2 linked regions of the Danio rerio genome follow. The protein of the gene in region 1 binds, or shares a complex with, the protein of each later gene. Links are inferred from orthologs where the notes say so. Each region holds a gene or a part of one and is shown in the gene's direction. Other genes may lie near its edges.

Evidence for each region. Proteins that work in one complex are often made in the same cells at the same time.
Region 2: coa1 (region 1) and tmem186 share a complex: the UniProt entries of both Homo sapiens proteins name them as parts of the mitochondrial complex. The link is inferred for Danio rerio from reciprocal best matches to the Homo sapiens genes COA1 and TMEM186.

Annotation. Positions count from the first base shown.
Region 1 is NC_133177.1:53,227,629-53,231,847, forward strand, and holds the start of coa1 (cytochrome c oxidase assembly factor 1 homolog), read left to right. Parts: upstream 1-1,348; 5' UTR 1,349-1,422; intron 1,423-4,219. UniProt on the Homo sapiens protein: Component of the MITRAC (mitochondrial translation regulation assembly intermediate of cytochrome c oxidase complex) complex, that regulates cytochrome c oxidase assembly.
Region 2 is NC_133197.1:27,568,015-27,571,252, forward strand, and holds tmem186 (transmembrane protein 186), read left to right. Parts: upstream 1-1,475; 5' UTR 1,476-1,498; coding exon 1,499-1,507; intron 1,508-1,596; exon of another isoform or gene 1,597-1,672; intron 1,673-1,778; coding exon 1,779-2,456; 3' UTR 2,457-2,661; downstream 2,662-3,238. UniProt on the Homo sapiens protein: As part of the MCIA complex, required for efficient assembly of the mitochondrial complex I.

The DNA of each region.
Region 1 (4,219 bases):
AATAAATATTTATTTATACATTTAAAAATAATAATAATTTAATTATGCATTTAACAATTTGTTTATATATTTATTGTGTGTGTGTGTGTGTGTGTGTGTGTGTGTGTGTGTGTGTGTGTGTGTGTGTGTGTTTAAATAGATCGATTTTTACACCTGCATCCTGCTGAAAATAGAACATCACAAACTACTCCAAATACGTAAATACAATATAAATACACAAATATTTGTAATGTTTTGTAAATAGCAGCACATTATTTAATTTTAAGTAATTTGCCCTCTGATTGTATATTTATTTATTGATTGATTTATTATTAAAGGCATTCCGTTAAAAACAAAAAACGTGACAAACTTCTCAAAATAAATAAATATATAATGGATAAACAAATACTTTTCAACTATATTAGCTTGTTTTGCAACTAGCAGCACATAGAACAACAGGTTATTAAAATTTTAGTTATTAAATACTGCAATACTGCCAATGCATGACTGTTTCATACATTTTCCTTCGGTTTAGTCCCTTTATTCATCAGGAGTCGCCACAGCGGAATGAACCGCTAACTTATGCAGCATGTTTTACACAGCAGATGGTCTTCTAGCTGCAACCCAGTACTGAGAAACACCCATAGAATCATTCAAACAAATACACTACGGCCAATTTAACTTATTCAATTCAGCAATAACAGTTACACGCATGTGTTTGGACTGTGGGGGAAACCCACGCCAACACGGGGAGAACATGCAAACTCCACACAGAAATATTTGTTTATCCATTATGCAGTCGAACCAGCTACCTTCTTGGTGTGAGGCGACAGTGCAAAGCACTGAGCCACCGTGTTGCCCGTGTATGACTGTTGTCCATGGAAATAAATGACCGTGTTCGTGAAATCACCAAAGACGACACATTGAAGACGCGCATCTGCATCGCGCTCAGCGCTTACTAAAGCACGCGCAAATTACACAACCAATAACGCGCTCACTCTTCAACATGCAAACATGTAATACTGTGCTCACCTGTGAATGTCCCCTCACAGCCTTTGATGTGGTTTTCTTACGCAACGTCAGCGAAATGAGAACGATAATGACATTCATCAACTGTGACTCAGGAAACTACTTTCATAACTCTTTTTTCGTAACCGCGCGTGCGTCTGACGTCACGCGTCGCACGTGTTTCTGTTGTCAAAAATGCAGATCCCAAATAAACATGCGATCTTGCTAAATTAATAGTTGGTAACATTACAGAAGATTGTACTGTATCATTTACAATATGATAAATCGCTTGGGGATTTCGCACGTGTGGTGCTCTTTTTTTCTAAAGATTTGATTCATTGACGTTTGAATAAAGTTTTTCAAAGAGGAAAATGGCCGCGTCCATAATGCGCCGCTCGTAGCGTCTTTATAAAAACAATAATAATCCATGTGCGGGTGAGTAATTTTATCTTAGTCAAAAGCCATTAAAGCATGCATTAATCTGTTGAATTTCAAGGCTCAATTCTGTTGAAATTCAGGGGCATCCATTTAAAATAAAAATAATGTTTAAGACCATCGTATATCTGCTAAACACCTTTCACTAGCAAAAAAAAAATACCACAGTATTACATGAATATTAATACGGTAGTAACCATGGGTTTGTGGCGAATTCATTAAATATATACAGTATATAACCAGCTTTACCAGAAATACCATGGTGAAGCTATGGATATTGAATCAAATGCCAAATGCATTTTCAACGTATGTTTGCATGGTTTAAAATATATAAGTATTTCTGGTAAAGCTGGTTATACTGTATGTGTATATATATATATATATATATATATATATATATATATATATATATATATATATATATATATATATGTGTGTGTAACCAGCTTTACCAGAACTACCATGGTGAAGCTATGGATGCATTTCCAAGTTATGTTTGGAATATTTGTATCGTTTAAATATAACAGCCAGATATTTTATGTATTATAATTACTTATAGGAAGGCAAATTTTTTGTCAGGAACAGTTAAGATGATAGCCGATTTAACAATATTAACACTTTAGTAATAGCTTTTTTTGTATCTATGATCGTCTTTGACGTTATTTATTATTAAACAAATCTGAGCCCTATAGCTATAATGGCCATCGCTAATTTGTGTCAGAGACGTTATTATTACGTCTTTTAAACACATTTCTGAGTCCTATGACTGTAGTTTTCCAAGGTCATTATGGTATATACACACATCCACAAATCTGAATAACTAAGAAATAAACAAATATTATTAAGCGGGTGAAGAAAATAATTTCGAGGATGTTCAGGCTTTACCATCGGCCTGTTGTTGTTTATTTAAAACAGTAACACTAAACAGCAAAATGGAGTCAAATGCAAGAATTTATGCAAGAATCTAATTAGTTTTTTATTTCTGGATATTTATCAGGGTACCCGTAGGGTCTTAAAAAGTCTTAAATCTACTGAAATATTGTGTTGTTTTTTTAAGAGGTCTTAATTTTCCTTTGTTCATGTGTAGCTACCCAATCTGGCCATTAACACCAATACAGTCAACGACAATCCATCTCAATAAAACTTTTAAGCTTTTATTTAAAAATAGCATTTAATTACTTTCCTTACAGTAACATTTGCTTACACGATATTTACTGCTGTGGATACTGACCTGACCTATATATTTTATTTTATTATTATTATTATTATTGTTGACTGAAATAATTGACAGCTATGTTTTTTTCTATTCTTCATAAGGGTTATAGGGTTTGTAAATAGATATATTTGGAAGTTAATAAAGCGAAATTCTAACAAAATATTTTATTATTGTATTATTAAATGTCTTAAATTTTTATATTTTTTGTGAAAATCAAAGTGAAAATCTTTTCTAACTGGAATATTTAAAAAAAAAGTCCTGTATAAGTCTAATATTTAATTAATAATGGAACGTAGTTTAACTTGTGGACATTATTTCTGGACATTTTCGGATGTTTACACTGAAAACTGGTTCAGAAACTGCTTCAGGTTTATTAGTGTTATTCAGACACAAGTGAATTGCATACACTGATAAAAATGTTAAAAGCACGTGCTGTTTCAGCCCATTGTAGATATTTGCTAAAGACCTTTTACTAACCAAAATGTCTTTAAAACTCTTAAATTTAACTTTTCGGACATTATTTCAGGACATTTCTGGATATTTACACTAAAATATATTTAAGAAAAATGCTTCAGTTTTATTTAGTTTTATTCAGACACAAGTGAATGCATACATTCCTAATATTTTAAAGGCATATGCTGTTGAAAAAAGAAAAATCACTTTTTAGATTATTTTTACACTTTAGGGATTAATATACTACACAAACACAGACAGAGAGAACTGAAAAGAATAAGTGACCTCTTGTAAATTCTGATATTCTCTGTATTGATGATTTCTACTTATGTGTTTCAGTAAAACAGGATTAAATCGAGTGATGACATTTATTCCATTTAAAATGAAAACATTGCTATTTAGAGCATTTATTTTGCTTGAAATAACAAAAGGATGCCATGTTTCAGAATTTTTTTGGACAACACAGCATCAATGTTTTTACTTAAAATCAAGAAATCAATATTTGGTGGAACATTCCTGATTTTTATCTTAAGAAGAAATGCTCTAAATGACAATATTTCATTAAAATACTCCCATATAAAATTAGCAGAAAAAAGTCTTATCAGACTTTTATAAAAATGAAACACATATTAACATTTGACTGAAACATAACAAACAAACCCAAAACGTCCAGAGAAACTAAGAATTTCCAAGTGGTCTCTTCATATAGTTTTATATACATTACCTGACAAAAGTCTTGTTGTTGATCTCAGTTGTAAGAGCAGCAAGTAATAACTTGATTTCTAGTTGATCATTTTGAAAAAGTGGCAGAAGGTAGATTTTTCTGATGAATCATCTGTTGATCTGCATCTCAGTGATCACAAATACTGAGAGACCTATTGGAAGACACCAGATTCTCAGAGAAATTAGTCAAGTTTGGTGAAGGAAAAATCATGGTTTGGTGTTAAATTCAGTATGGGGGCATGCGAGAGATCTGCAGAGTGGATGGCAACATCAACAGCCTGAGCTATCAATAAATTTGTGCTGCCTATTACATTACAAACCACAGGAGAGGGCAAATTCTTTAGCAGAACAGCACTCCTTCTCATACTACAGCTTCCACATCAAACCAAAGAAGGTCAAGGTTCT
Region 2 (3,238 bases), on another chromosome or scaffold:
TGATGTGTTTATTTAACTGAATTTTAGTCATGGCAACGGAAGTACTTTTATTTTGGAGTATGCTAGACTTTCTATCAAGTCCAGCTTCACATCGCTTAGGGTAGTTGTGCTCAAATTTAGATTTTAAAATTAATTTATCGGTATTTTTTTTTAACAAATTACTTTAAACATTGATGTTACCAGCGTGCGAATTATACATTGACGAACGAATGGGTCAACTTTTTTGATAGTAGTTTGGTAATACATTCTTCAGTGAATCAAATGTATTAATGTACTAAAATTACACCTCATTTATTATTAAAATGTATACGCTTTCAGTGTATTGATATTTAGTGATTTTTTAGAAGTTGCTGAAGGTCAAAATACAACTATTTTACAAGAAGTGTTTTGTGAAAACTTGAGATGTCTATCGGTGCCAGTTTCAGACTGTTGTTGAATGATATTTTTTCTTAGTATTGATTGGGGCGATTATATTTTCACACATGGTATGAACCATTATAAGGGTATATTTATTATGTTATAAATTTTTTATTTTCAATATTTAATTAAAGAGCTATTAAAGAGCTGACCCCCCCTATTCATCTTGTTTTAATGTCCTTCAGGGGGGACAAAGAAGTGTTAATGAGGGGTCAATCCCCCCACCCTCCAACCCCCCTGTAATTCGCACCCTTGATGTTACCCACGACACTTTTATGGTACTGAAACAATCAATTGTTTTTTAATGCTAAAATTTTTGCCAAAATTAGAAATAACGTGTCGAATAATAATATATAAATGCTTATTAATTGTTTTTATTTTCACTTTAATTAAATATTAATGACACCGAATAATTAATAACAAGGAAAATGTCATGCAAAATGAGAAATAAAATGCTTACTTTTTCACATCAAAGGAACAAATCAGTAAATAATAATAATAAAAAATAAATAAAATTACGGGATATATGTATATATAAATATATAAGGGATATATAAATTACAAAAAATTGCATAAGAAAAATTATTTCAGAATTGCACACATTCTTATAGCTTTTTTATTTGTTATGTCTTGTAGGGTTTCAATATGCATAAGATAAGTTTTAAACAAATAAATATTAGGCTTATCATTGGATCAGTTTTGTTTGTGTACATGGTACTTCCCATATATTATCATTAAATTAATAAACAAATTTTGCTCCAAGGTTTAGTTGTTATTATTGAATATCAAAAAATATTTTTACAAGAAAACTGAATTTTTAATTTAGTAAGTTTAAATATAAAATGTTCAACATCAAACCAAAATATTTGGGTATATGTGCATTCAACAAACAGGTGTTTTATCGATTCCTTCTCTAATTCACAAAAAGTGCACGTAGATTCCATGTCTCTAAAATATTTTTAACAACTTGTTTCAAAAACGATTTTGACAAGCGTTGATTTAAGGACTTTTATTTTGAAACGATACATAATATAACTCATGTCCAGCTTCACAGAAGAAGTGCGCGATGCACTGAACTTGTATGGACATGGTGAGTTCATTCAAAACTGAAATAATATTTAATAATAATGCGCGTTATTTAATTATGCTTATGTATTTTCTATGATTATCGCATATAAGAAGCTGGAACGCATAATCTGAGCCAACACAACAACTGCCTTTGTCAAGCACTGTTTTTATCAACATAATAAACAAGGTCAAATAGTCAATAGTCATGATGGTTACATTATCAAAATATTTTGTGTTGTTTTAATAATTAACATTAATAATAACTACTGTTGTGATGCTTACTGTCTCCTCAGATGATGATGTCAACAAGATTAATCCACCTTTCCCGTCATTTCCCTCAATATGGCTTTCGATGCCATCCTTCAGGACTTATTTCAAGTGCTCGCATGCAATACAACATCAACAACGGCCTGGCACACATGGGTAAACAGATGCCCAACACATCCACACACACCACGCGGATTCACCCGGCCTCATTCTCCTCTGACCTTGCCTCAAGAAAATACAGTCTAATCTATGCATTTCCACTAATCAGGGGCCTGCGGGCTCTTTCAAGACTCAAACTCTTACAGACGGGCATCACTGTTGTCCTGCTGCCCACTGTGTATTACCTCCACCTGCAGGGCCAGGCATCAGTGTTGGTCTTAAATCGCTCAATAGGCATTGCCTTGTTTGCTGGAGTCATGCTGTACTCCATAAGCCACTTTGTCAGAAGAGTGGTTGGCATGATGTATTTGGATTCAACACAGACCATATTAAAGGTGTCACATCTTAGCTTTTGGGGTCACAGAAGAGACATTTATGTACCCGTCTCAGATGTTGTGACTCTGGGAGATTCAGGAGACTCCAGGGGAGAATCAATTCTTCGGTTAAAGCGCTACAGCACTTCTAATACCATGTACTTTTCTACCAGACTGGGACGAGTGGTGGATAGACACGCATTTGGGAAGGTTTTTGGGAGTTTGTCATGAATTTGTGTAGTTTTGTATGTCATGTCATATGAAACTTTCCCAAAGTGAGAAATTAAAGATCTTATGGTAAAGTTAAGTATATGTAGCTTTTGTTTTGTGCATTTTATTAATAATTAGTGATGTAACAGATCACAAATCTTACGGTTTGGATCATATAATGTTTTTTTTAGTCACAGATCGGACTAGCCAAAAAGGGGAGGAGACAAATGTCATTTCTTTTCCATTTTATTACAAAAACTGCACTGCAAGAAACATTTGGTTTCAAAAAAACAAAAGTAAGAACCCTTATATTTATAAAAAAAAAAAATGAAGAAATAATTAGCTAAATATAAATAAATGGTAAAATATTCAGTACTGTGGAAAGATTCACAATTTCTGCTACTGTTGCTGATGACACTAAATGTAGAAATCTAACATTATAATTTGTACAACCCATATTTATTTTTAGTCTCGTTTTCAATAAATGCTTGTTATTTACTCATAAAACTTCATGTTTCATTGCTAGATGGATCATTTTTTATTATTATTCAGTGGCATATTTTTGATGGCTGGTTGAATTCAACCTATTGGTTAAATAATGTAATTACTGCTTACAACCTTTATTTTTGAGCGTCAAGTTAAATGTATATGACGTTAATTTTAATTTTTACCATAAACATCAGTGGTTTATTCTAAACTATAAACTGTTATCCCAGTACTTCTGTGTTATTTGATTGATTGTAACTCCATAACTAACTCAAAAGACCAAAGACTCAATCTCTTTCTTGATTTTTGTGTTGTCA